Rattus norvegicus: one gene and its partners. The protein of the gene in region 2 interacts with the protein of the main gene of each other region in a biochemical or structural test. Links are inferred from orthologs where the notes say so. Each region holds a gene or a part of one and is shown on either strand. Other genes may lie near its edges. The genes, in order: Pdgfrb, Plcg1, Lcp2, Itk, Erbb2, Sh3bp2 and Sos1.

Region 1 (3,799 bases), on a different chromosome or scaffold from region 2:
AGGGGCTACCGCATGGCCCAACCTGCTCATGCCTCCGACGAGATGTGAGTAGAACCTTGTGCACTCGGGAGGAACTTGGGGGTTCCAGGGAATCGCAACTCTTGTTCAAAGGCTAGACGAATCCTGCTAGAACTGGATCAAGGTGTTCAAAATGGTGCCATCAGGAAGTTCTTTCCCAGTCTAGGTCTCCACTTTCTCTATGCTGGCTTCAAATTCAAGCCTGCCCTGCACATGTGGCTGCCGTTAGCAACACCCTGACATCTTACTGCTTGCATTGCTCCAGTAAAAGACCAGCGCTGGCCTTTTAAGGGCTCAGCTTGGTCCCATACCATCAGAACCAGGCCTGAGTTGGGAGGATGAAAATCCCTATTGGTCAAATTCAGGTTACAGTGATTTCCACAATGTCTTAGACTGTGCAGAGTCATGGATGGGGGAAGCTGGGATCAATAAGCCACCAGGCTGCCCCTCCTCAGCCTCTCTCTCTCTCTCTCTCTTTCTCTCTCTCTCTCTCTCTCTCTCTCTCTCTCTCTCTCTCTCTCTGCTTCCATCAGCTATGAGATCATGCAGAAATGCTGGGAAGAAAAGTTTGAGACTCGGCCCCCCTTCTCTCAGCTGGTGCTGCTCCTGGAGAGGCTTCTGGGTGAAGGCTATAAAAAGGTATGTGGGGATAAGGCAGGGTAGAAGACAGTTGCTGGCCAAATCCTGTGCACTTGGCTGGGATTTGGGAAGAAATGTCCTTCACCCGCTCTGAGCCTCAGTTTCTCTGCTGGTCCTAGAAACTGTGAACTTATTTATTTTAAAAGAACCAAGATGAGGAAGCTGATTAATGTGACCCAGAGAGGTGCCGTAGGTAATCCTGTCTGTCAAACCTGTGTACCCTGAAGACATTGGTCCTTCTTCAGAAGTGTGAGCAACCCCAGGCTCTCTGGAACCCTCACTGCAACTACTTAAACCTTGTCCCAGGTTCATGCAAGACTGACAGAACCAGTCTGTCCTGAGCTCAGCTTGTCTTCCCATCTGGGGTGGTCCTAGGGAGATGGAGACAAAGTGGAGTCACCACTGTTTCATTGCAAGGGACACTGACCTCCAGCCCTAACAGGGAAACCACAGTGGCATGAGAGCCCATATCTATTTACTCTGAAGTGGGGTGGAAGTTAGGGTCATGGCTACCATGCCCAGCTCCCTGCCCTTCCCTAGGGGACTCTGAACTTGTCTCGGGATGCCAGGTAGGAGGGCAGCTCACCATTGCAGCTTTGTGCAGGACCTCGTTCTCTGAGCACTAGCTGGGGTGGAGGGTCTCTAAGACATTGCCCATCTCTCACCCATCTTTTCTTCATTCCCTGTCCTACGGTGCAGAAGTACCAGCAGGTGGATGAGGAGTTTCTGAGGAGTGACCATCCAGCCATCCTGAGGTCCCAAGCCCGCTTGCCGGGTCTCCACAGCCTCCGATCCCCTCTGGATACCAGCTCTGTCCTCTACACTGCTGTGCAGCCTAATGAGACTGACAATGACTACATCATCCCCTTGCCTGACCCCAAGCCTGATGCTGCTGATGAGGGCCTCCTAGAGGGTTCCCCCAGCCTTGCCAGGTAGCCACCCTGACCCTTTGGCGTGGACACTCATGTGTATAGTGCGTGTGCTCATGTATGTGTACACAGACTTGCCACAGAAGGACTGTCAGCTAGCTAGAGTAAGGCCTAACTCTTGCCAGTGGTCAGTAAGACTGAAGTTTATTCTGCACGTAGAGCTGCAGGCAAGAAAGGCAGATTGGAAAGAAAGGCGTTGTTGAGACTCCATTTGCAAGATTGTTTTTCCTTTTAAGGGTATCACCACCACAGGACCCTCTCTAGGTCCTGTGCTTGTCCCGAGGACAAAGAGGAAACATTTAGCATTTCCCAGCTGTTACTTTGGGTTATGGCTGCCCTTGACACCGTGCCCGGGAAGCCTGTTTATAGAAGATGGAGGAGTTGCAAATTCAGCTTAGAACTCAGACGGAGGAAGAGACCCATGGTCTGCCTTGGGTTGCGTCCATTGAAGGGTGGACTCTAGGGGAGCCATATTGCTTTCCTGGACTGATGTTCAGCCAGAGAGGGGACTCCCAAGATCAAGACAGATGAGTGGTAGGAGACACAGGCTGGCTTCTGTTTCTAGCCTGTCACTATAAAACTTCGACAGGCCTTGCCTCTGCGGGCCTCAGTTTCTCAGTAGGAACTAATAGTGCATGCAGGCCTTTGCAGGCCCTGAAGGCTGCATTTCTCTGTTAATGAGGCAGGCCTTGTCAGGTGGTCATAGGGTAGGTGTGAGGTTGGGGGGTGGGTAGGGGTGGTGTTAGGCTGTTCAGGGTCAACTCTGAGGTCACTTTGTTTTGTGACCTCGGACCAGATGTTCTGCCTTCACAAACCTCAATTTCCTTTTCTGGAAGGAGGAAACAGTGAAAAGTCCTGGGGTGGGGGACTACTATCATTTCCCTGAGCGCAAAGATGAGTACCTGACAAGTGGGGATAAGAAAGAAGCCTGAGAGCCTGATAGCCCTGCTCTCAAGTTCTAGCTCCCATCCTCAGCTGAGGTATGTCATGGAGCAATGACATAACCTCTCTGAGCTGCGCTCCCCTTGTAGTACATGCCTGTCAGGATGTAAAGCCAACGCACAGAAAGCTCTTAGACAAAGCTGATATATCTTCCTGGGGTTTCCCCCGGTTCCTTTCTGACTTATTCCCTTCCTCTAGCTCCACCTTGAATGAAGTCAACACTTCTTCCACCATCTCCTGCGACAGCCCCCTGGAGCTCCAAGAAGAGCCGCAAGCAGAGCCTGAGGCACAGCTGGAGCAGCCACAGGATTCAGGCTGCCCAGGACCTCTGGCTGAGGCAGAGGACAGCTTCCTGTAGGGACTGACTCCCATCCATCCTGCCAGAAACTCCCATCTGCCTCCTAGCACCGAACCCTCTTGGCCTGGCCTGGCCTGGCCTGGCCTGGCCTCCCAGCAGCAACACTGCCACAAGCTGTCCCCTTGAGGAAAGCCCTTGGTTTGCCCCACCCAAGGTCCAGGGACCAGCTTCACTTAGGAGGCAGGAGAACTATGGGGACTAAGCCTCTGCTTCTGAAAGGTCATAGGATTCTGAACCAGGGCTCCTCCAGAGGACTCAGTTTCCCCAAATATAAGAGGAAGAGTTGCACTTGGCTACAGGACAGGTACGGAGCCCGGACTCCTGTAGAAATCCTTGGGTATACGGTGATGTGTTCACATCCTCCTGTGTAGCAACTGCCCCTCAGCTGGATCATTCTACTTTGATCTTCCCAAGAACCGGGCAAAGACCCAGTGCCCGGCTCCCGGCCAAACCGACAAAACTGAAGCCAGCCTTGGACAAGGTCATTTCATTCAGAACCCACCTCCCATGGTCTTAGCTTTCCCAGGCCCGAGCTGGACTGGGGCCAGCCATGCTTAATGAATGCTGTTAGTGTGAAGGTGAGCTGTGCACAGAATGCTCTGGCCTGCAGCCCCACCCACGGCACTCAGGGTACACCTGGCCACAGGAAGCACCCACTCCTTTTAGCCCCACGAGTCCTAGAACTGGTCCCTTGTCACTCTCAGTTTGACCTGCCCACCAGAGTCTGCAGGGCCATGGTCCACTCTTGTGATATGCTAAGGATCTGCCTGACATGCTCACCAGTAGGAGCCCTGGCTCTGCACTGAACCTGCTATGAGACCTTGGGGGCCTTCCTTGTTCTCTCTGGGTAACGGTTTTCTTTCCCCTTTGAAAAATGAGCAAGTTGGACACACAGACTCTGAGTACCCTGTCA
Region 2 (3,799 bases):
AAGGCCAAAGGCAAGAAGTTCCTCCAGTACAACCGGCTGCAGCTCTCTCGCATCTACCCTAAGGGTCAGAGGCTGGACTCCTCCAATTATGACCCTCTGCCCATGTGGATCTGTGGCAGCCAGCTTGTAGCTCTCAATTTTCAGACCCCAGGTGAGGGGATCCTCTGTGGGTGGGGAGAGACACTTAGGGCAGTTCCGCTAGAATGTACTGTAATCCCACTCTTCCAGACAAGCCTATGCAGATGAACCAGGCCCTCTTCATGGCTGGTGGACACTGTGGCTATGTGCTGCAGCCAAGCACCATGAGAGATGAAGCCTTTGACCCCTTTGATAAGAGCAGTCTCCGAGGTCTGGAGCCCTGTGTCATTTGCATTGAGGTGGGTATATTTATCTGGGTGCCTCAGGGCGGGAGAGGGCTATGAAGAATATTGATATTGACCAGGTGGATCAGCACAAGTGGGAGAGGGCAGCACCAGAGGTGAGCTGCAGTGCTGTCCTGTGTGGGGGAAGGGAACTTATCTTGAACTGTTCTCGAGCTTGAAGTAGAACCATCTGAGATGGGGAGCTACGAGCTTTGTGAGGGTTGGGATCCCAAAGGTAGCATGGCTGATCATGGCCAGTTTGGGCACAAAAGAGTTAGGCTGTCAACCTAAGCCTAACCTGTGAAAGTCACTACCTGGCAGGAGGAACCTGGTCAGAGTGGCACAAATCAGGCTAAAGGGTCTGCAATGAGCCAGGCTGCTGTCTGCAGAACCAAGCCAGACCTGGGCTTGCTAGAGCATGGCCAAGCAGCCTGTTTCCTTAACCAGTTCCTAGAATAGAGCTCCCCAGTACATGTCTGGTGAAGAGCTATGATCAAGGTCAGCCTAGCCCTTGCTGTGGGAATCAGCAGAGGTGGCTTCAACAGAGTCTGGAAAAAATAAGGCTAGCCTGTGGCCAGCAGGAGCACAGGGGGACGGGTGGACTGCTTCTTCCCAGACTTTTCTCCTAAAGTGGAATAAATTAAAAGATTCTCACATTGCAACAGACATGGATTTAATGTGAAATGGACTGCAAAGTGCGTATGACCCTTAGCTAGAGCTCAGGTTTTCACAGTCAACAGCTTGCTCTGGAGTGGAACAGTGAGGGGCCTAATGGCCAGCACCTTCAGGGCCCAGCAGGGGGCATACTGCCTCCATGGCACATTTTCCTCCTTGATGTGCTCCTCAAGCCTCTGCTGTGAGGATGTTGGGGTCAACAGTCCTCACCCCGTCTCTGCCTGTCTGCCTCACAGGTGCTGGGGGCCAGGCATCTGCCGAAGAATGGCCGGGGTATTGTGTGTCCTTTCGTGGAGATTGAAGTGGCTGGGGCAGAGTACGACAGCACCAAGCAGAAGACAGAGTTTGTAGGTCAGTCGGTTGTCCCCCATTACCAGTTATTTTCCTGGGGTGTACGGACCTCTCTACCAGTCATCACACCCCCTTGATGTGGCCTCAGCTTTTGCCCTTGCTTTCACAGTGGACAATGGACTGAACCCTGTGTGGCCTGCAAAGCCCTTCCACTTCCAGATCAGTAACCCAGAGTTTGCCTTTCTGCGCTTTGTGGTGTATGAGGAAGACATGTTTAGTGACCAGAACTTCTTGGCTCAGGCTACTTTCCCAGTAAAAGGCCTGAAGACAGGTGAGGAATCTTCCTTAACGTAACATCTTGGTGTCAGGGTGGGGCTTATCCACTTGCGTGACACCTGTTAGGCTGAGAGCCAGGTATTTCTCCTAGGATACAGAGCAGTGCCTTTGAAGAACAACTACAGTGAAGACCTGGAGTTGGCCTCCCTGCTCATCAAGATTGACATTTTCCCTGCTAAGGTAATAGCTACAGCAGAGTGAGCAGAGAGCTCAGTCCTAGCCCCTGAGATACAGAAGACACCTCAGCTTTTGTGCACTTCCCTTGCCGAGCAGGAGAATGGTGACCTCAGCCCTTTCAGTGGTACATCCCTAAGGGAACGGGCCTCAGATGCCTCCAGCCAGCTGTTCCATGTCCGGGCCCGGGAAGGGTCCTTTGAAGCCAGATACCAGCAGCCATTTGAAGACTTCCGCATCTCGCAGGAGCATCTCGCAGACCATTTTGACAGTCGGGAACGAAGGTGAGGGAATGACAGGGAAACTGGCCAGTTTGGGGCCTTGGAGGAAGGGTGCTGGGGCCAGAAAGAACAGCAGTCCTTTGACGGCTTCCTCCTATGTGGAAAAGCAGTAACTGCTTTTGGGTTGTCCTGTCTGGCTGCAAGGCCAATAAGGACACTTCACTTCTGTTCAGGGCCCCAAGAAGGACTCGGGTCAATGGAGACAACCGCCTCTAGTCATGCCCCTACCTTGTTGGAGAGCAGCAGGCGCTGCCACCTGTGGAATGCCATGAACTGGGTTCTCTGGGAGCGGTCTACTGTAAAGCCTTCCTGGTCTCACAGCCTGGAGCCTGGATTCCAGCGGTGAAGGCTAGACAAAACCAAGCCATTAATGAGATGTACTGTTTTGGGCCTCCATGCCCAGCTCTGGGTGAAGGCAAAAAACTGTACTGTGTCTCGCATTAAGCACACACATCTGGCCCTGAATGTGGAGGTGGGTCCCTCCATCTTGGGCCAGGACTAGGGCTGAAGCCCCTTGGAAAGAGAAGTTGCCTCAGTTGGTGGCATAGGAAGCTTCAAGGAGCTGCTGACACATTCCTGAAAGAGGAAGAGGAGGAGGAAGAAGAGCCTTGCTGGGCCAGGGGAACAAAGTTTACATTGTCCTGTAGCTTTAAAACCACAGCTGGTCAGGGTGAAAGAGTAGATGCCCTGAGGCTTGGCCCTGGAGCCAGGTCAGAGGAATGCAGGGCCTGTAAGGAGAAGGCTCTGCTCTGCCTGAGGAGGAAGACAGCACAAGGGCACATTGCCCACGGCTGGGTATACTACCCAGCCTGAAAGATACAGGGGATCATGATAAATAGCAGTATTATTTTTTTTTCTTCTCAGTGGTATTGTGACTAAGTTATTCTGTCCTGCTCCTCACCTTGGAAGGGAAGACCCAGCACAGAGCCTTTAGGAACAGCAGCTCTATGGGGTGTTGTTACTGGAAGAGGGCACTGTCCAGAAGGGTGGAGGGGCAGAAAGAGAGAAAATCGATGTCTACCCTGGTGAGCGTTTTTGTTTTTATGGCAAGGAAGGCTCATTATGCTCTCCCAAAGGAATGGAGACATGGGTAAGTGGAGTCAGGCAGTAGGCACCAAATGAAGCTGCTGCTTGGTAGTCTCTGTGTGGTTGGTAAAAAGATGCAAAGGAGATGGGAAGGTAAGCCTCACCTCTGAGGACAGGGTGGGGTCCAGGCCTGTGGGTGCAAAGGTGCCTCAGCATAGCCAGCATTCAGCACACGCAAACCCACTGCCCACATTTGGGCTCAGGGTTGGCCATTTGCTAGTTCTGCTGCCCTCTTAAGATCTGACTGCCAAATAAATCATCCTCATGTCCTTTTTCTTTTAACTCGTTTGGTTTTGGGGGGCTCAGGAGAACATGGTGATTGGGAATTGAAGCAAGTGTGGTATAATCTCCCTGGAGACTTGGGAAGTCACAGAGTTCTTGCCTGTGGCTCTAAAATGTGATGCCCCCTCTGCCCCCTCACCTTCTAATGGTGTTGCTGAAGTCCACCCCCGCCAAGGAGCGAGCTCAGCTCCCACTGCACAGAAACTACTTCAGAGCAGTCACATTTGCTTATGTGCTGCCAGGTGCTGCTCTTGTTCGCCTCTAACTGCCAGTCAGAAGCTCTGCCCACCATGCTGAGGGAGGCCTGTTACT
Region 3 (4,403 bases), on a different chromosome or scaffold from region 2:
CCTCAGCTACCAATGGTGTATTATTCAAACATTGGAACAGAGAGCTATGCACACATGTACATTCCCATATGTGCAGTCATGTATGTACACATACATAAATGGAACACCGGCTAACCTGCATTTACGGGTCGCCTTATTGCACCAAAGTATGCTTTTAACCTCAGGTTGCACTCACTGCCAAGGATTGTTTCAGTCTGTGAGAAGTGTATAGAGTCTGAGGCTGGAGGAGGAAGCAACTGATCTCCATCTCCTATCTCCAGACAATATACTCTTTGTCTAGACATATGGTAGAATCAGTAGCAAATGCCATATATGGAAAAAACAATGGAAGACAGACTATAAGGCAAGGAAGCAGTGTATAGAAGGTGCGTCATCAATAGCAATGATTGTTTAAACTTTTAATGCTTACACTTGCCTAGCAAATGCACCAAAGTTTTATGTGTATAACCCTTCTGTTTCCTTTCCTTGCAGATATGGAAACCATCTACTTAGACTGTCATTCCATGCTCAAGACTACAGTGCACAATCATTCACATCAGAAATGGAGCTGGTCCCTGCCCTGTAGCAGCCTTCACCGTGACTCCTTGCTGCTAAGAACCCAGGCATCATAACACAAAGAAGCAACTGGAGGCCACTCAGCTTTCAATAAGAACAAACTGGTGGGGAAGGAGGTCAGAAAACATTGAAAGAACCATCTTCCTTCTCTTATAGTTCACTAATAGATGAAATTATAGATAGTTTTAGGAAACTGTCAAAAAGAGATTCTTATCTGCAAAGACTCAGCCAAGCATAAATATGGTGTCCAGCTTTGGGTGTCTGTAATTCTAATGGGAAAAAAACATACTTGAGTTTAAGTCCCCTTTGCTGTTCATCCTGCTTGGCTAGGGTGTCTGGGCCAGTGGAGAGTTACCATCTCAATCTCTCTCTCTCTCTCTCTCTCTCTCTCTCTCTCTCTCTCTCTCTCTCTCTCTCTGTGTGTGTGTGTGTGTGTGTGTGTGTATGTATCTATTTCTGTCTCGCTGTGTCTCTGTGTGTGTGTCTATCTCTGTTTCTGTCTCTGTCTCTCTGTGTCTCTGTCTCTATCTCTGTGTGTGTCTATCTCTGTCTGTTTCTGTCTCTCTGTCTCTGTCTCTGTCTCTCTGTCTCTCTCTCCTCTCTGTTTCTCTGTCTCTCTGCATTGTGAGTCCCCAGAACTGTCCTTCCTTGTTTACTTATTTAGAAGGCAGCAGAGGAAGTGGTAAAGGAAACTAGCTGAGTCGTTTTCTGAGAAGAGACCATATTTGTTCACAGGGGAAGCCGCTGCTTTTGGGGATCTGGCTACAGCAGAAAAGACTCCTGCTCAACAACGGTGTTCCTGACGGTAGCTGGAAATCAGAAGAACCAAGGACACCACTGAACTCTGGATCTGGGCTTTTTCTCTGTTCATGGCTGCAGCACCTCTCCCCAGTTTGTGAGCCTCTCCCTGAATAGCAGCCATGGCCTTGAAGAATGTCCCCTTTCGCTCAGAGGTCTTAGCCTGGAACCCAGACAACCTTGCTGATTATTTCAGGAAGGTGAGTCTTTCCCTCTTGTGCTTCTGGTTGGGCTGGTATGCCTTCAGTTGGGTGGGCAGAGACTGGAGGTGGAATCTGGATAGAATGTGGAAGGCGTACGGGATAGTTGTGGATACTAGGAGACAGACAGACATTGCTTTCTTGGTAATGTGTCCTGAAGAGAAAGATGAAGGAGGGGGCCCTCAGCTGCACAAGTCCCTTGTACATACCACCTGTGCATCCAGTGCTTTACAGACTGTGTCTTGCCAGACACAACCCACTGTCATGGGAGTTCAGTGTTATCTTATTAACAATCTACATTGACAATGTTGTGTCATAACGACATTATTATTTTGCTCAGCTGAAAAGTCAACTCAGGGAGTTTAAGTGGTTCAAAGCTCTTAGGTCCTCTGCAATCAGGTCGGATTGGAGTCATGCCTATCCAGCTTTAAAGCACATGCTCTGGATTGCAGAAGCATACTGTGGTAAAGACTACTCACTAGAAAGGGAGATGGGGAGTCCTGGGGTAGGAAAATGAACAGGCAAGTCAGGAGGGAAGGACAGAGAGCTGGATGAACACTAGTGTTTTTGACATCTAAGGTTCATGACCCTGGAAGAGGGCTAGAGTCTCTTTATTGGCCAGAGTCTCACTAGAGCTTTATGAGAATCCTGGAAAGCCGTTCAGAAAGCAGACATGAGCCCTAAGATAGTTAGGGACACAGAAGACAAGTTCAGCAGACTTAGAAGTCAGGCTGGACCAGAGTTCTATTGTCCTGATTTCCAGGATAGAAGGAGTCCTTGTTAACTGTTAATGGGGACCACATATCTGCATAGGCATATCCCAAGCCATTAAACTCCTCTTGGGCACCCATGCCAAAGAGGTAAGAGATCTTATGAAAGACATGAGCTTCTATTGTTCATATCCCTGTATGCTGTCTTCATATTCCACTAATATTCCAGGCAGTGATGAAGATGATGTTCTAAAGCTAAGATCACAGACGTCATCTACTTTGACTCCTATTTTTCTAAAGAATAGAGACCCAAGAGGATAGAATAGGCCCCTTGGGGCATATAGTCAAATCTGTAATCTTTACAGCGGTTCCTTCCCAACCTACAGTAGAAAATGTGAGCATTTTGTACTGGGTGTGGCATGGCAAGAACACTGTGCACAGATCCTGCTATTTGCCACCTTTTGTGAATCTCATTTTGGTTACTTTTCCCTCCAATAAGCTCATCACAAACTTTCCACACTGTGGGTGGAGATGTGATTAGGCAATTGACTTTTGAGGTATGTTTTTGAAATACTTTTCTCAACTAGGAACCAAGTAAGGTAGGGCAGAAAGGCACAGTTTGCTGTGGCTCAGTGGAGACCTGAATTAGCTCAGTAGAGCAGAGAGAATGGGGATTGAAAATTAAGGCAGGGAAGTCTGTGGAAGAATCAGGAAACACAAAGGGCCCCATATTCAAGTGTAACTAGGGGATTATGTAATTCCACAGTGCCACAGATACTGTGTGGGTCAAGTTCCCTTCTTCACAGGGCGGGCCTGTGGTAGAAAGCCACATCCTAGGGATAGGCTTTGTCTTCTGGAGGGAAAGAAACAAGGAAGCCAGGGGTAGGGCAATTGGCAATTCTAGAAGGACCATTTGCCTACCAGAGACACAGAGACCCTTCAGACATCCAGCTCATCAGTCCCTAGAGAAAGCACTCTGTGCAATGACCACAGAGTCACTTAAAGATGCTCTTTGGAGATGAGTTGTACATGTAAATGGTTGACCAGCAAGTGTGATTTCTACAGAAGGAGTAGGGTTGGGTCATTGTGACTTCTAGCCAGCTTTGGAGTCAGACATGTTTTGGATTAAATGTACTCTTTCCAGCTAGCTTAGGGACTTCTTTTTGTTGCCTCTCCTTTGTGTACCTGAACTTTCTAATCAGTGAAAGAGAGGCATGAACAGTAACTAACCAGATGAGATGGAGGTGGAAAGGAAATGTGTGGGAGGCATTGAGTTCTATGTTCTATTGTCCTGCTTTTATAACCACCCCCTGCTGGGGAAGCTCAGACAGCCTAGGGAGACTTTGTGTCACATTGCCTCCGATATGTGTGTCTTGCCCTGCATTTGGGATAGAAACCATGAGGATTAAGGCCATAGTCTACTCATTCTTAACTCCTCCAATTGGTTTGGTCCTGGTAGGAGAGCATTCCTGGGCCATTTAGATAGTCACTGGCTTATAAAGTCGTGTGTTCCAACCCTGTTGGGTTTCTACCTCACCATGTGACCTTAAGCCAGACCATTCTCTCTGAGCCTCAGTCACCATCACCTACAAAGCTGAGTAACCACTTGATCAGTGCCTATCAATCCTGAGTGCTAATCAAAATTATTGAGGTACTTGTTAAAAATACAAATTTTAGATCCCAAAACTCAGTTCTTATTGGACTACATCAAATTTCCAGGTTCAAGGCTAGAACTCTAGCTTTGGTTTAGAGTCAAAACCAGCACTCTACAGAACCAGCAATTCATCTGAGAGTGATCACAGCAAAATGAACTAAAGGAAGCTGGTAGTTCCAAGAGCCTGCTATACACCTGGCATGTGGGTCAAGGAGATGGCAGGGTATTGCAGATGCTATCTGCTCTGGACATTGACCTAGAAATCAGCTTCCTTAGTGCAATGCTCAGTCTGCCCTTCCAAACTAGGAGGTGACAACAATCGTATTTTAAAATTATTATTATTGAGACAGGTCCTTGGAGTATAGCCCAGCTGGTCGGTCTTGGACTGACAATGGTTTCATCCTTCAGTCTCAATCTCCTGGGTGCTAAGATTATAGGCGGGTGCCACCACACCCATCTGTTTACTTTTTGTTTTTTTTTTTTGTC
Region 4 (3,799 bases), on a different chromosome or scaffold from region 2:
TCAGGAAGGAGACTCAGCCCTGCACTGTTCTGACCTCTTCCTCGCCTCTTCCCAGGTTTGTCCTTGATGATCAATATACCAGCTCCACGGGCACCAAATTCCCAGTGAAGTGGGCATCCCCAGAAGTGTTCTCCTTCAGCCGCTACAGCAGCAAGTCAGATGTGTGGTCATTTGGTAAGTTTCACCCTGAGCCCGCCCCTGTGTGATCTGGAACTGTGCACCAGCTGTTTCCTTCTCAAATGCAAACAAGTCTACTTTGTTCTGACCCCTGTGTGGAGAAAGAACCCACGAGGGCCTGCGTGAGAACAGCCTGAAATGTCCGAGCAGCCTCTTTTTGCTGCCTTTATCTCTAGATATCTTTAGAACGGCTAAGAAATTAAAAATAATAATGGAAAAGGAGACTTGGGGTAGCTACTGTGAGCTGGAAAGCTGGAGTTGTCGGGAGATTGGAATATGAAGCTGAAAGCAGGACCTTACTGGGTCCAACATTCCCATACTCAATCCTCCGTAAGCTCTTGTCACTTCACCATGGTTTCCTGAGTGTCTGTTACACTCCTGGGCTACTCAGGGGCTGAGAAGCAGGAGGGCACAGGGCAGAAGAGACTTCTATCCTCTTGAAGCTAAACTTTTGGGGAGAGGAGACAGATGACTGTCACTGAAGTGGAGTTTGGGTCCGTGAGTGCTGTGACTCAAGGAAAGCAGCATTGGTAGAGAGTATTTAGGGCGGGGGAAGGGTCCATTTTACCCAGTACGCTCTGGAAAGGCCTTCTAGAAGTAACTCTTGGACAAATGTCTCCATTCAAATATTCATGAAGCTGTGTCCCTGGCAGGGACGAGAAAGTATGAAAACTCAACTACATCCAGAGATAGCAAGAGTTCCTGAGTTACAGGGAGAACAAAGACAGCAGTAACAGTTGGTGGGAATGAATGACATTAACATGTGGGAAAGGTTAAATAACTTGCTGAGTTTGACGTCAGTCTAACTCACAATTTGTGCACACAAACAGTGTGCATGAAAGTGTACCAAATAGCCGCTCCAATATGATGACTGTACAGATGGCACTTCGGAGAGAAACTGCTTTGGGTTGACCTTGCTATTCTATGTGAAAGGTTTTCCAGGGCACAAACTCAGTGGCACGAGCATGGGAGATCAAGTCTCCCAGGGTAAGAATCGGTGCTGCGATCTTCACTTTAGAATGCCCTATTCCCACGAGTCCAGAACTTGTTAATTATGAATCTTTCTGCTCTGTTCCTTAGTTCAACACACACACACACACACACACACACACACACACACACACACACACACCTCTGGGCTTGGCTGTTACTGTTAACAGGGTAGAAGTTACAGGATGAATTTGGAGGCAATTGTTCTGGTGTCTTCCTTGCACAACTGTCCACAAGTATAGAAGAAGGCCAGAGACAACTCGTGGCTATCTCTCTGTGGGTTATAGAGCCACGGACACTGCCAAGGTGGCACCCAACAAAGATGTTTAGAGTGTGAGCTATACGCACTTTCACCAGCACATTGCAGAAGGGAGTTTGGGAAGTCTTGGCGTGTCAACCAGAGGATAGTCTACTGGGTTTTCCAGAAGTCTAAAGTGCATCCCTTCCTGAGATGTGTGATTTGAAAAGAGTCCAGGAATGAGGTTGAGAGACAGGGGTAGAACAGAAACAGGTAGGAGCAGCAGGGCACACTGGCGCATAACACGGGGGGAGGCAGAGGCAGATCTCTGAGTTCCAGGGCAGCATGGTCTACAGAGAGAGTTCCAGGACAGCCAGGGCTTTTACACAGAGAAATCCTGTCTCAGAGAAAAAAGACAGATAGGCGGACAGGCAGATGGGAAGATAGACAGGTGGACCGACAGAAAGAGGAAGAAAAGAGAAAGACAGACAGTAGTATGTGCAAACCACAGCAACCTGCAGGCTACGAGCCTCCTGCCTGGCTCAGCCTTGTGGGTTTTGTCATAAACGCAGTCTGTGTGATTTATCCCATTGCTTTTATTGAGCGAGTCAGCAGCCTCTATAAACTCTGCCTCTTCATGCCTCAGAGGGTTCACGTTAAAGCAGTCAATACCCAGTAGCCCCAACAACTCACTTCAGAAGACACCTTACTAGAAATCCTAGCACCTTGGGACACTGAACAGTCTTCCTCACAGTCAGATTCTGATTTCCAGGTCTTTGGGCATCTCAGAGGAGCCTGCAGGTTAGTGACCCCAGGAGGAGGGTATTAGGGTGAGGTTCAGAAGTCTCCCATTCGAACAAGTGTAGGAGCTGGCTCTTAGTGGGTATTTGAGAATCAAACTTTGGGGAACTCCATCCTCCAGTCCTGTAGTTTTACCCCTCTGGTCAGGACACCAGCAACCTCCATTTTTTTTCTGAGTCTGTGATCTGTCAGTACACGAGAAAGACAAAGCTGAGGCAGCTTGTATATGGATGAAGGAGTGAAGAAACATACTGTGGGAAGATGCTTTCCCCTCAGTGTCTACAAACAAGTTAAGATTCTGTCTATGAAATGCCTGACACCACAAATGGTTTAGACTTTAGGTTTGGAATATTTGCATGTATATATACGTAAAGGTATTTATAGCTACGGTGTGGGGTAGGAGAGAGAGAGAGCAAGAGAGCTTGGGAATGAAACTGAAGTCTAGACATAAATCCATTTGCTTTGTATATACCTCAGAATCTCTCCAGAAGAACTAGTGGCCTTTTCTAGACTCCTCAAGCACATGCACACACATGGCGATCATTCATACACACACACACACACACACACACACACACACACACACAGAGAGAGAGAGAGAGAGAGAGAGAGAGAGAGTAAAATAATATTTTAAAATAGAACAATGAAAAAAATTAAGGGAAGGCCTGATACTGCACTTCCAGACGTCTAGAGGGGTAGACTTAATACTCACTCCAAGGGCCCTGTTGCTTGTGGGCGTGAGTCTCTCTGGTACATGTGCACCTTCCCCCTAGCTGTTTTTCTGTTCACTGCTGCTTCTAGGTGTACTGATGTGGGAAGTCTTCAGCGAAGGCAAAATCCCATATGAAAACCGAAGCAATTCAGAGGTCGTGGAAGACATCAGCACTGGCTTTCGGTTATACAAGCCCCGCCTGGCCTCCCCTCATGTCTACCAGGTCATGAATCACTGCTGGAAAGAGGTCAGTACACAGGGAGATTCCCCCTGGATCGTAACACACACTTTCAGGGTCCGCATCAAGCGAGAAAGGACATGACCTACAAGGATGGGGATCAAGGAAGACCATAATAAACAGGCAGGGCTTTGTACATGTTTCTGCATATAATCATGTTTTAACTATACGTACATAGGGAGTACAGTATGATCTTTCAGTGTGTGGTTATCAATGTGGTTCCTTGGCTTTTATTGTTTATTTCTTTTTTATTGTTGAGTAGTACTCCATTTGTATGGACATACCATAGTTGGTTTATTCATGTGCTTACTAAAAGGAGCTCTCAGTTTCCAGCAATTATGAGAAAACCTGCTATAAGCATTTACTGCATGTGAATCTATTAAAGTGAATCTAACGGACATAAATTTTCAACTCGGTTGGGTAAATGCCTAGGAGTGGCTGCTGGAACATATGTTAACACTGTTTAGTTGATTTAAGAAGCTAAACGCTGTCGGGTTGTGTTCCTAAGTCTTTTGCCCATTCTTAGCAGTAATGATGGATTCTGGTGCTTTTGTTTTTATTGGTTTGTTGGTTTGGTTGGTACTGCATAGACCCAGCTTTCCTGGAACTCACTGTGTGGACCAGGCCCTGAACCCACAGAGAT
Region 5 (3,799 bases), on a different chromosome or scaffold from region 2:
TCAATGTCCAGCAGCCGAGCCAGCCCGAAATCTGTAATCTTGACGTGGTTGGGACTCTTGACTAGCACATTCCGGGCAGCCAGGTCCCTGTGTACAAGCCGCACGTCCTCCAGGTAGCTCATCCCCTGGACAGAGGGCACCAGTGTGGATCGTGAGTCTAAATCTCACCTTAGGGACACTCCCACCTCATCCTGGCCCCAAATGAAGGCAGGGACTTGCACCCAAAGGATCTCCAGAGCCAGCAACCCCTAAAGCACATACCTTGGCAATCTGAACACACCAGTTGAGCAGGTCCTGGGAGCCTAGGCGACCTCGGTGTTCTCGGACATGGTCCAGAAGGCAGCCGTAGGGCATAAGCTGTGTCACCAGCTGTACTGTGGATGTCAGGCAGATGCCCAGGAGGCGGGACACATACGGAGAACCCACACCAGCCATCACATACGCTTCCTGCAGACGAGGGTACAAAGGGATACAGGAAGCCACCTACTTCCATCCACTCTCCTCTCCCAGAGACCCTCACCCATCCCTCACTGGCTACAACCAGAGCCTCCAGACTAGGAAGGTTAAGAGTCAAGGTTTAGGGGCTTCTATCTCAAACCCTGATGAGGAGAAAGCAGCCCAGATCTGCACCTGGGAGCTCCTCACATTCCCAAGGGGGAGCATGAAGGGGAGGGGCTTCTCACATTCCCAAAGGAGACAGTGAAGGAGGGGAAGGTCCTCACATTCCCAAGGGGGAGTGTGAAGGGGGATCACATTTCCAAGGGGGAGCCTGAAGGGGGTCTTCTCACATTCCCAAGGGAGGCCGGTGAAGGGCTGGGGTCCTCACAATCCCAAGGGAGAGGGTGAAAGGGAGGCTCCTCACATTCCCTAGAGAGGAGGGGCTTACATCTAGAATTTCTTTGTTGGCTTTAGGAGATGTGTTTTCTCTCAACACCTTGATAGCCACGGGGATTTTCACATTCTCCCCATCTGGGATCCAGATGCCCTGAGCAAAAAGAAAAGGACTTGAATCAGGCTCCCCAACAAGCCATTGAAGAGTAGCCTCCAGCTTGGCTCACTCCTGTCTCTTGACCCTGCCCCTCCCTTAGATCCACCCATGCCAGAACCTGGTCCCTCCTGACCTTGTAGACAGTGCCAAAAGCTCCTGATCCAAGCACCTTCACCTTCCTTAGCTCCGTCTCTTTTAGGATCCGCATCTGAGCCTGGTTGGGCATTGCTCCGCTGGGCGTCAGCGGCTCCACTAACTGAACAGAGAGGGTAGTAGGTAGGGTGAGTGCTGAGTATAAGCTGTAAGTCCGAGGGGGGCACTAGGAGGCCCTCACCATGCCTCACCTCAGTTTCCTGCAGCAGCCTACGCATCGTATACTTCCGGATCTTCTGTCTCCTTCGTTTGATTAGGATTCCAACGACCACCACTAAGATCAGGAACAGCAGGACGCCCACTACAGTTGCAATGATGAATGTCACCGGGCTGGAAACAGAGCCAGAGTCAGAGATTAGGGGCTAGTCTGAGGAGGAAGCTTGGAGAGACCCCCATGAAGGGACAGGAGTGTTCCTGGGCTCCAAAACTTCATGGGAGAAAAATGCATCAAAGGCCTTGTTAGTCTGCACTGTGCAGCCCACCCCCAGGGGCTTCTGCCACACAGGAAATAGGGTCTAGTAATATGTACCCCAAGACTCTCAGGTACTAGTCAAAGCATTCTTCAAGGAGCCTTGCAGTCGCAGGTTCCCATTACCAGGACCTTTATTTCTCCATGATATAATTGTCTATGATTCAGCTCATCTTGGGGCACACAGGGTCCCTGGATTCTCATGAGACCATTATTGGTTGGTATACTTAGTTTTGAGGCTACCTCACGAATAGCCCAGGCTGGCTTTGTATTCACAATCCATGTGCCTCAGTCTCCCAAGTGCTGGGGTTACAGGTGTCTGCCACATGTCCGGGCAGAACTCATTCTTGTCATCCTTGCTCCCTGAAACCCCATCTTGCTCTGCATGAGGCCTGTCGTTAGAGCCAGCATCTAATGTTTGCCTCACAGGCGAACAGCATACCCTAGACTGCTTTTCTCCCTTCTACCACTCTCCTCTGACAAACCAGAGTCCCATGGCCCAGGGGTCAAGAACTCTACCCTACCCTCCAGATCTGTGTATCTCACAACTTCAGTTTACACCCCTCTGCACTGGTGTGGCTCATAGCACACACCAGAGAGTTCTTAGCCACCCTCGATTTACATGACTCTCCACCTGAGGGCACAAAAAGCACAATACTCCATCCTGGAAGCTTCTAGCTGCCCAGCTAGAATACTCTCAGGCTCTGCACGCTGTCACTGCATCCCTAGGGAACTACATTTCCCAGCATCCCTTACCCCACAGCATCCTGAGCAGGACTATCCACTTGTTGAAACAAAAGTTAATAGAGAAAGAACGGGACTAAGGAGAGAGGCACATGCAGCATGCTGGTTAATCTCTCTTCATTACTGACCACCGAGGCCAATGAAGGAGTCGGGGGTGCGGGGGTACCTCTGGGGGCCCACCTGGCTCTCTGCTCTGCTGGGCAGCCTCGTTCATCCAGATCCACACAGCTGCAGAAGAGAGAGAGAGTGCCATCATCAAACCTGGGGACAGGCTCCGGGGGTGGGCGTGGCAGGATTACTCCATGTGACAAACAGAAACAGGGCTCCAGGTCACCAATTTGTTCTGTACCAGCCCACAAGAAGATTCCCTCTCCAGTCTGGGAGCCCACCTCCCCTGCATTGCTATAACTTCCTGTGCTGAGAGCAGGAAGCACTATTAGGGCGGGAAGGTCAGCTAGCCCCTCCACAAAAGAGGCCTAGGGTATATGGTACATGGAAGGAGAGTTTGAGGAGATCTATTAAACACACCGGGGCAGGGCTACAAGGAAAGGGTCTACAAGGTCCTGGCATCCATCTCCACCCACCAAGCAGTAAAATATCAACAGTTCTGCCTCAACAGTCGGTACTACCATGCCAACACCAGGTCACAAGAAGGCATGCACACAGACGCCCCTTTGTGTGTAGAGCTGAACAGCAATGGGCTGGTTTAAAAAAAAAAAAAATCAGGCCTTACTAGAAGAGGAGGAGCCTAGTCTTACTGCAACTTGATATGCCATCTGAGAGGAAATGGAGGAGGAATGGATTGGGGGTTGGAGGGGCTGAGGGGAGGGGAGGAGGGAAAGCGGTGGTCAGGATGAAATAAATAGGCAAGTGAGAGTGACATCCCTCAAACAGGGCCCGTCCTGAGCGACATGCTCTGAACTGAGACGTTTGTAGAGGGGTAGATGGAGATGCCCTTGTAGGAGAGGATGCGGAGCCAAGTTTCACCCCCCTGAAAGAGCAGCGAGTGATCTTAACCACCTCTCCAGACCCAAATGTGTTATTTTTGTAATTAGAAAAGAGATATAAGGGCTGGAGAGATGGCTCAGTGGTTAAGAGCACTGACTGCTCTTCCAGAGGTCCTGAGTTCAATTCCCAGCAACCACATGGTGGCTCACAACCATCTGTAAAGAGATCCGATGCCCTCTTCTGGTATGTCTAAAGAGAGGTGTAGTGTACTTATATATAATAAATGAATAAAAAAAAGAGAGAGAGATAAAAATTACACCTCAGTATAAGTTAAACCAGCCTCATATTATCGCACCCTTCTCGTAATACGCTCTAAAGAGGCTCCTGTCATGAAGACCCTCTCTTCTACTGAAGAGACTCACTCCCTCCACTCACGAGTGGGTGCAGTTGATGGGGCACGGCTGGCATATGCCCTCCTCATCCGGGTACTTCCAGAT
Region 6 (4,467 bases), on a different chromosome or scaffold from region 2:
GTAGCCTGGGCAGGCAGAGGGTCATAGACAACTTAGGTACACAGAGGTGACACCTGGGCAGCAGAGATGGGGGCATGGTGGGTACCCTAGAGGATGGGCATCTCAGCCAGTCAGCACCTGTCTTCTTAGCCACTGGGATCCATGAAAGCTAAACTGTGGGCAAGTGGTGTTACCCTAGGGCCAGAGACAGGAATAATGAGTGTGGGTCAACTCTGAGGGCTGAAGGGTTAGGATTCTGGGCATGCTCCCTGCTCCTCTCTTCATCCTCTTCACCAGTGGAGAACCCAGTGCCTCGTTGGCTGAAGTTTCCCCCATGTCTTTTACTGCCTCCTTTCCCAAGCCCTAGGTTTTCTGGTCTTTTCCTAGTGGGCACCAGCCTCTCTATATTTGCTCAATGCTTGACCGAACTAATTTCCTAGCCTATACCCAGTTAACCCCTCTGCCTGCGGGGATGCCTCACATCAAAGAACTAAGTATGGGTCCTTTGGACCTGGGCAGCCCTGGAACAGACGTGGACAGGGACGTGTAACCCACACTTGTGCAGCTATGGATGTCCCGAGTCCCCGCCAGCAGCTCAGCACGGGTGGACTCCTACTCAGCCCCTTCAGCCTCAGCCTGGTCTGGAGCATCCATTGTAATCCTTATCTCTATAGCAGTTAGGCCCCTCCCATCTGGGTAGCTCCCTCCAGAGCCAGCCCTTCCTTAGCCCATAGTTCCCTAGGTTTAAAACCTATATGTTCCCCTGGGGACTTCTGCCAGCCTGACTCCACTCCAGACTCATATCCCTGCCTGGCCCCAGGGCTCTCTTAGGAAGCCATCTCCTCTTAGGTGGTCACCCCTCCCCAGGTCCCTGCCCCTTGCGTGTGGTCCCCCAGGCCTATAGATAGGCTTAGCAGAAGGCTTAAGTGGCTGTGCACAGGAAGCCTTGAGTCCTTGGCTTCAGCATAGCAACCCAGTGCTGGCCATGAATTTCCAGCCCATGTCCTACAGGCAATATTTCCTTTAGATGTGGCTGAAAAGTCTCTAGTAGGATTCCAGAGGTTCCCAGCAAACCTTTCCTGACTGTGAGGGGGTTAATGGACAGGTGACAGGTGCCCTTACCTGGGGCCTAGATTTTTTTTTTCCCCCCGGAGCTGGGGACCGAACTCAGGGCCTTGTGCTTCCTAGGCAAGCGCTCTACCACTGAGCTAAATCCCCAACCCTGGGGCCTAGATTTGAGTCAGCCCCACCCAGCACAGCAGACACATGCTGCTATCCCAGAGAGGATACCACCGAGGAGACCACCGGATCAAAGGTGTGTGTGTGTGTGTGTGTGTGTGTGTGTGTGTGTGTGTGTGTAAGAGAGAGAGAGAGAAAGAAAGAGAGGAAGACTCTCTGCTCACTCAGACACCTGCCTACATCTAGTGGGCACCTACTGCTTGCTGGTTACAGACACCTTAGTCCACCAACCAATCTCTGACCAACCAGAAAAGGTGTGTTAAGCTGCCAGAGCATGAGAGGGAACGGGTGGAGAAGTTAGACCAGGGGTGGGGCTCATTGATTAGTGCGAGGGCGGGGCCTGAACCTGGGAGGCGGGGCCAGATTGGAGGCGGAGCCTGCACCGGAGTGCCTGCTGCCCGCCCAGCTGGCTGCAAAGCGAAGCAACAGAGGAGGGATCCGCCTCCCGGACGCAGAGTCGGTGGGCTGGGAACCGGCGGGTAAGGCACTGCATGGGTTTTGGGACCGGTCGTGGACATGCGCGGCACAGTCGTGTCTCAGAGACCTGCCTGGGTCCCTGGAACCTGTGTCCCGCTGTGAGGTGGGAGTCGGGTTCTTATAAATCTTTTTTTTTTTTTCTCTTTTCTTTTTTTCAGAGCTGGGGACCGAACCCAGGGCCTTGCGCTTGCTAGGCAAGCGCTCTACCACTGAGCTAAACCCCCAACCCCGGGAGTCGGGTTCTTAGGGCGGACCGCGGCAGTCTGGGCTCAGGGCTGGGCGTTCAGTCTAAGAGAGAGGGCTGCTGTTTCGCGTGTGTCCTGGGTCCCTCCAGTCCCTCCGGCTCCCCTGGCACCCGTTGCTAGACCCAGGTTACAGGGCTCATCTAGCGGGGCTTCCAAAGACTTAGGAGGTGAATTTGCTTTCATTCCCTCCAAACTTTTCTTCCCACAAAGGCTCCATGAAGTTTAAGAGAAAAGCCACCTGTTAGTGCTGATTCACACTGACGAGTGAATGACTGGGTGTGGGGAGTTTGGAGATTTTTGAGGAGGAGTGAGTCTCTGAAAAGATAGAAGACTGTTCAGAGCGTTGTAGGTTAGCGGACATGAGGGTTTCCACCTCCACCCTTCTGTGGCTCTGTGCCTTGGCTGTTAACAGTTTGAGAGCCCCCTTGGAGCCAACTCCCTCTGCCACCTCCCATGACCCTACGCAGCTCCTGTTCTCTCTCTCTCTCTCTCTCTCTCTCTCTCTCTCTCTCTCTCTCTCTCTCTCTCTCTCTCTCTCTCTCCTCGTTCCTTGACACTGCTAGTTCTGTGCCTCCTAGGCAGGTGACTCCAATAAGAGCCCCTGAGAAGCCACCCCTGCTGGGCACAGTGTGGGACCTCGGGACTTACTACATGTGACTGTTAAGGATTCTATTGCTCAATCTTTTTTTTTCCCCCCTGGAGCTGGGGACCGAACCCAGGGCCTTGCGCTTGCTAGGCAAGCGTTCTACCACTGAGCTAAATCCCCAACCCCTGTTAAAGATTCTAAACCCCACCTGAGGGGGCTCTGGAAATATCACCTACTGGATCATCGGTGAGATGCACAGAATTGTTTCACAGCACAGGTCAAGGAGTTAGGTGCTGGGCTGGGAGTGAGAAAATGGACTCAGGTCAACTCTGGGTGACCTAGGTGAGTGCTGTGCTCACCGGCTTCAGTCTCTTTGGACCACTGTGTTCTTTCCCTGGCAAGGAAGCCCAGCTTAGGGCCCCAGATTAAGCTCTCCACTCCTGGGGCCTGGGATGGCTCCAAGGAGATGTGAACCACAGGTCTGTCCACCTCCTTTTCCATGCCCTCTCTGCCTCTTTGGGACCTGGCTCTGGGTTCTGGGTGGAGACATACCCTGGCAGAGAGGACAAACTAAAGGGTAAACAAAAACTGATGGGCAGGGGCTGGGGATTTAGCTCAGTGGTAGAGCGCTTACCTAGGAAGCGCAAGGCCCTGGGTTCGGTCCCCAGCTCCGAAAAAAAAAAAAAAAAGAACCAAAAACTGATGGGCAAATTCACCTGGCAAGAGAGGAGTTGAAAGGGAGACTGGCCTTTGTGGGGAGCCCCCTACAGGGTTATATGGAAGCCCGCTCAGGAGGCTGGGCTAGGAGAGACAGAAGGAAGGAAGGTAGACTCCAGGACTGCCTTGGCCCTTCCTTTTCACTTCCTTCTCAGAGGAAGTGGGGTGCTGAGTCAGTCCCTAGTATCCTTTTGTCCCCATATGGGTGCATGAGCATATGTTGGCCTACAGAAATCCAGGAAGCCCGGTGAGTCAAAATGACCTGCTTTAATCATAGAAGGACAGATGGAAGGACATAAACCCAGGCTGGGGGCTTGGGTTCAAATCCATCTACATGATATTCATCAGGCATTTCCTCTTGCCGAGCCTCCATTACCTCTGTAACATGAGGGTTGGCAAACACTTTCTACCTGAGGGTGGTTATGAGTGACCACAGTCTGCTAGGGGTAAGCAGCTGATACTCAGGTGACGGGGGTGTGTGTCCTGGTCAGACAGGGACAACAGACCATTTTGACTTGTGATGGGCAAGGCCAGGCCTGGAGAGGCCTGGGGCACAGAGCAGGCTTCCAGGTCCCTGTTTGTATTGGTCCTGTGGGTAAACACCTGAGTCCACAAAGACTGACCAGTGTGGGTTCTGTCCTCAAAGCTCCAGGGTGGGGACCAAGGGTCAGAGACTCTGACAGACCTCTTGCCCTGCCATCATCTGCCTGGTTCATGTCCTTCCAGATTCCCTGGGCACAGACAGGTCTGGTTCTTTTATAAACCTGCTTGGCAGAGGAAGTGGGCAGCCTGGGCAGAGGAGGTGGGGAACCTAGAGCCTGGGAAAGGCAAGATTTATAGGAAAGGGACTCTTGGAGCTGGGCATGAAACTGTTAGGAAGGGACGGACAGACAGATGAACAGACAGACCAGGGAGGATGGCAGATCATTGATCGAAATGCCCTTGGTATCCCAGACATGGTAAAAACATGGAGGAGTCTGAAGAGTCAGAGAGGGGCCTCTTCACACCTCAGAGTCCTCCTCGGAGAGTAAAGTACCCCAGTGTGCCTCTGGAGTACTCCCCCCATGTTTGGGGACTCAAGGGCTAGAGATGGTCCCGTGTGTGGGTGCACAGGGGTTGTGGGCATTTTTCATGCCCACTTCCACCTCCCTCACAGCCCCTCAGCCCAGGGAAATGCTGCAGCCTCCTGCCTTGATTCAGGGTCCTGGGTCTCCCAGGCACATT
Region 7 (3,799 bases), on a different chromosome or scaffold from region 2:
CTGCTGGACCACATAAAACTTACGACCTTACTGAAGTATCCTTAATGTATACTCATTCAAAATAAACAAACAAACAAGTGAGTTAGTTGTAGTTTAGAAGTGCTAATTATGAATTATTTCTGTCAAATACAGTAGCTTAAAAATTACAGAAATGTTTTAGAAGCAAATTGTAAATTTTACAATATATAAGTAATTAATAAATTTAATTTTTAATAGAAAAAAGAACACCTTGCTGCACTGAGGTAAAATTCATAGGATGAGTTACTCTAAACACTCTAAGGTTACTCAGGGCCAAGTCAGTCCCTGCAACTGCAGGGCTGCTGTCAATCCACAGGCTCATTTCTTTTAATTGAACTTGTATGATTTTTCCTTTGTTCTTTTCATAAAAATTAAGCAAACCATATGAGGATAAAGCAAACAGGTTTTAAATTCACAAGGATTTACAAACAAAGGCAACGTAGCAGGATAGACAACCTGACCTTTTATTGTTGAGAAATTACTTGAAAACCATAGCAAAGTACTGTTATGTGTTCTGATTTTAAACAGTGTAGGGAAGGCTGATGGTTGTGTGGATAGCTAGTTCATAGTTACTAAAGACTGTAGCTCTTTAAACAGCTTTGTATGTAACAAGAAAGGTAATCTATTTACCTTTTATGTAACTACTGGGCAGCTTCCATTTTCTTTTAAAAATTTTAATACTTCTTCATTCTTGAGTAATAAACACCCTGACTATAGTCCCTGGGTGAGAGTTTATAGTAACCCAGAACCCCAGACGAGGCTTCGCAGACTGCTCAACGTGCCCCAGCCCCTGTGCGCGACCACTGAAAATGTAAGTCAGAGAGGCCGAGTGAGTCACTGTAAGAACTCACAACTCACCTTTGGAAAACACTGTCGATGTCCAAAAGCTAAACAAAACTAAACTCTGGCTTATAGACCAGAGATGTGTAGATAATGGCAGCTACATTCAAAAGTGGTTTTAAATCACTAATAAAAAATAGTGCTCAAGTTTACCTGCTCTCCCTTTGGTAATTCCAACCATATGAAGCTCTTGTTATTGAAGGGAAGGCCTTGTTAAATGACACTGTTTACAAAGTGGGAAAACTAATGGCTGTTTTTAAAAGGCCAATCTCACTAGCACCAGAATAGATTCCAAAGGAAACAGAACTCACTTAGAGGACATTTTAAAAGCGGGAAAATAAATATTTTCCGCAGAAACTTACACTTCCTAAAAATAGGACTGTATTTAAATGAGAAGAATGGGGATAGAGGTTAAATTTCACATTCTAGTATCTAAGAATACCATATTATAATTTTAAACACACATTTCTTTTAAAGAAAAGAGTTTGAAAATTTCCATCTAAACTCAGAAATAGCTTTCACATCCAGTGTTTCGTGTGTGCTTTCTGACAACACACTGTGGTATACATTTGATGTTAATGTTTGAGAAGAAGACTATGGTTCTGGGATGTAACGGGAGCCTGATAGGTGACAGAGCAAAGTGTGAGCTCAGTGCTATCTGCTCCACCCCAATTCTGAGATGACAGTTATCAAACTCCCCACTATGTGTCAGACCATGTAAGATGGCGTAGTATGCCCTTTACCTCTCAACCACTGTATTTAATTCTACCTAGCATCCTTCTAGGTTTTCTCTAAAACCTGTTAAGGTAACCGTTTGCATCAGTAACATTAAGAACAAAATACTGACAATGTGAATGGCCTCCAGGCCTCCCCAAAGGATGGAGGGATGGAGAGTAAGAAATACGTGTTTCTGCCACCAGCACAATTTTGATGATGGGTAAATATTTGATGTTTTAGTCTGTAGCCCAGTTATAAAATAAGAAAAGAAAATACAGGGGTGGAAACCTTTAGACAATCACATTGATGCTTAGTTTTCTTTCTACTGCTTTTTACTGGGCAACACCAGACAAGTGACCATTTCTCTTTTGTAAATATGATAGAAAAGGTAAAAGCTTCAAAGAGAACAGAGTGAAGGTTTAGCCGACTCCTCTACGTGAGAAGGATTTGCTTGCTGTTAGTTTTCTACCTCAGGCACAGTGACCCACCCGTGGAGTCAGTCAGTCAGGAAGCAGCCTCCCCCGAGTCTCACCTGCGTACATGTGGTACGTGAGCCTCTCAATCAGCTTAACCACTGTCCCTGCCTTGATGATGGGGATGCCAGCCTTGGGCTGCACGTTCTCTTCAAACAGAATGTTCTCCTCAGAGTCGGGCTCTGCAAACCTGTACACGTCAGCACTCGGCAGCCTCATGTGCTCCTCCTTCTCCTCCTGCAGCATTGTAACGTCCAGCATTCTCTCCAGCGTGCTGCGGTACTGCAGGGATATCAGGGCTGCCATCCAGTTATTCTTCTCTTCAGCTGACTTGGCAGAAAATATAACACTATTTCCATCCTTCAGAATTATTTCGAAAGCGTGCTTGTATTCACTGGTGTCATCCTTATCGTTAATCTGTACCTTTCGCATAAAAAACTTTTCTTTAAGCCGATATTCTGCATTGCTAGCACCAGGAAGTCTTGGCTGCCCATGATTTGATTTACAGCAAATCATTAAGCCATCGAAGAGAAATATGTGTCTCTCGTGTTTGGCTCCTACACGTGTAAGAGTTCCTTCCATTATAAACTCATTGCAGCATTGTCCAATGTCTTTCCCCTCCCAACCATCAATGTTCTTCTGAATCTCATTCATCTTCTTGATGGCCAGTTGTTTCCCCTTCATTTGCTGGCTGTAAAACCGACATGCAGACTCACTGGGGTAAAGGAAAAGATGCTATTAGTACACAGAAGACAGACTTTATATAGAGTTCATGCAGATAAGGTGGCAGGGTAAAAGACAACTTAGAACATCACTGACATGTGTTTACTAATTCCCCAAATAATACATGTAATTACGCACCTATAAAAGCTAAAACAGCACAGAATTTTTCAGAGTTATAAAAAGAATAGTGATGTTGAACTATATAAAGTCAGGTACAAAACAATTATCTCTGCCTTGAATATTAAACACTTAGAAAGATAACTATAAAAAAGTAGCCCAACACAGTAAAAAAAAAATGAGATATGAAAGCAAATTGTAAGTGTTTTTAAATGCACAAGACCCAGAGATAGAAGCACATGTTACAAGGGGAAAGCAGATCTGCTACCTGCATCAATGTCTGAGTTATACAATCCCCAAACTAACCAAGCCTACGAACCTGCCTCTGACATAACAATGACGCCGGCAGATCTGCCCGGGACACTGCTCTGTCCCCTTCAGCTTACCAGCCGCTCCTCGGGAGGCCTTGTCTGGGAGCAAGCAGGGAAAATGCACAAATATGAAAGGTTTTTCAAACAATAACAAATTCTCCTGGCTTTGATGTCACTTCCTCTGAGAGACCAAGCTTGTCACTAACACCGTTTTCTTTATTGTTTACTCAAGGAGGGAAGCTAAGGCCCCTGAATTTGTACCACAACTTTCAGGATAGAAAGGAAGAAACTTTAAAATGGGAATATTTACCTCAGTCTTCGTTTTGCAAGATTTTTGGAGCAAATTTTTTCCATGCCACTTTGGACATTAAGCAGGGCTGTTATTGCTTGTTTCATACACTCCTTATCTTCTTGATCTTCGCTCTTTTCTTCTAACTGCTGTGGAAAGGGCAGAAGGAGAACCTCACTTTATTGAAGGATAAATAATGCTCATTTAGCTCTCCCTACTCCAGTAATTTTAAGTGTTCTATAGATGTATTATTTTATGTTATGAGTGTTTGCCTGCAGTCTGAAAGTGCACCCTATAAGTCAGATCCCCTG

What was found.
Region 1: the proteins of Plcg1 (region 2) and Pdgfrb form a complex in vitro, tested with the Homo sapiens proteins (3 studies listed by BioGRID and IntAct, with this or other methods). The link is inferred for Rattus norvegicus from reciprocal best matches to the Homo sapiens genes PLCG1 and PDGFRB.
Region 3: the proteins of Plcg1 (region 2) and Lcp2 form a complex in vitro, tested with the Homo sapiens proteins (2 studies listed by BioGRID). The link is inferred for Rattus norvegicus from reciprocal best matches to the Homo sapiens genes PLCG1 and LCP2.
Region 4: the proteins of Plcg1 (region 2) and Itk form a complex in vitro, tested with the Homo sapiens proteins (2 studies listed by BioGRID, with this or other methods). The link is inferred for Rattus norvegicus from reciprocal best matches to the Homo sapiens genes PLCG1 and ITK.
Region 5: the proteins of Plcg1 (region 2) and Erbb2 form a complex in vitro, tested with the Homo sapiens proteins (2 studies listed by BioGRID and IntAct, with this or other methods). The link is inferred for Rattus norvegicus from reciprocal best matches to the Homo sapiens genes PLCG1 and ERBB2.
Region 6: the proteins of Plcg1 (region 2) and Sh3bp2 form a complex in vitro, tested with the Homo sapiens proteins (2 studies listed by BioGRID, with this or other methods). The link is inferred for Rattus norvegicus from reciprocal best matches to the Homo sapiens genes PLCG1 and SH3BP2.
Region 7: the proteins of Plcg1 (region 2) and Sos1 form a complex in vitro, tested with the Homo sapiens proteins (2 studies listed by BioGRID and IntAct, with this or other methods). The link is inferred for Rattus norvegicus from reciprocal best matches to the Homo sapiens genes PLCG1 and SOS1.

What each region holds. Positions count from the first base shown.
Region 1 is NC_086036.1:56,804,638-56,808,436, forward strand, and holds part of Pdgfrb (platelet-derived growth factor receptor beta precursor), read left to right. Parts: coding exon 1-44; intron 45-551; coding exon 552-657; intron 658-1,356; coding exon 1,357-1,589; intron 1,590-2,726; coding exon 2,727-2,886; 3' UTR 2,887-3,799. UniProt on the Homo sapiens protein: Tyrosine-protein kinase that acts as a cell-surface receptor for homodimeric PDGFB and PDGFD and for heterodimers formed by PDGFA and PDGFB, and plays an essential role in the regulation of embryonic development, cell proliferation, survival, differentiation, chemotaxis and migration.
Region 2 is NC_086021.1:169,832,566-169,836,364, forward strand, and holds the end of Plcg1 (1-phosphatidylinositol 4,5-bisphosphate phosphodiesterase gamma-1), read left to right. Parts: coding exon 1-151; intron 152-228; coding exon 229-377; intron 378-1,273; coding exon 1,274-1,388; intron 1,389-1,497; coding exon 1,498-1,659; intron 1,660-1,730; coding exon of another isoform or gene 1,731-1,735; exon of another isoform or gene 1,736-1,755; coding exon 1,756-1,844; intron 1,845-1,937; coding exon 1,938-2,122; intron 2,123-2,292; coding exon 2,293-2,335; 3' UTR 2,336-3,475; downstream 3,476-3,799. UniProt on the Homo sapiens protein: Mediates the production of the second messenger molecules diacylglycerol (DAG) and inositol 1,4,5-trisphosphate (IP3). Plays an important role in the regulation of intracellular signaling cascades.
Region 3 is NC_086028.1:19,145,531-19,149,933, forward strand, and holds the start of Lcp2 (lymphocyte cytosolic protein 2), read left to right. Parts: upstream 1-1,315; 5' UTR 1,316-1,475; coding exon 1,476-1,553; intron 1,554-4,403. UniProt on the Homo sapiens protein: Adapter protein primarily involved in signaling pathways within T-cells, as well as other immune cells such as platelets, mast cells, and natural killer (NK) cells.
Region 4 is NC_086028.1:31,260,268-31,264,066, reverse strand, and holds part of Itk (tyrosine-protein kinase ITK/TSK), read left to right. Parts: intron 1-55; coding exon 56-174; intron 175-3,007; coding exon 3,008-3,165; intron 3,166-3,799. UniProt on the Homo sapiens protein: Tyrosine kinase that plays an essential role in regulation of the adaptive immune response. Regulates the development, function and differentiation of conventional T-cells and nonconventional NKT-cells.
Region 5 is NC_086028.1:83,924,429-83,928,227, reverse strand, and holds part of Erbb2 (receptor tyrosine-protein kinase erbB-2 precursor), read right to left. Parts: coding exon 3,738-3,799; intron 2,583-3,737; coding exon 2,535-2,582; intron 1,472-2,534; coding exon 1,333-1,471; intron 1,245-1,332; coding exon 1,122-1,244; intron 986-1,121; coding exon 887-985; intron 448-886; coding exon 262-447; intron 126-261; coding exon 1-125. UniProt on the Homo sapiens protein: Protein tyrosine kinase that is part of several cell surface receptor complexes, but that apparently needs a coreceptor for ligand binding. Essential component of a neuregulin-receptor complex, although neuregulins do not interact with it alone.
Region 6 is NC_086032.1:80,435,035-80,439,501, reverse strand, and holds the start of Sh3bp2 (SH3 domain-binding protein 2), read left to right. Parts: upstream 1-1,663; 5' UTR 1,664-1,709; coding exon 1,710-1,798; intron 1,799-4,467. UniProt on the Homo sapiens protein: Binds differentially to the SH3 domains of certain proteins of signal transduction pathways. Binds to phosphatidylinositols; linking the hemopoietic tyrosine kinase fes to the cytoplasmic membrane in a phosphorylation dependent mechanism.
Region 7 is NC_086024.1:20,327,420-20,331,218, reverse strand, and holds part of Sos1 (son of sevenless homolog 1), read right to left. Parts: intron 3,638-3,799; coding exon 3,510-3,637; intron 2,764-3,509; coding exon 2,108-2,763; intron 1-2,107.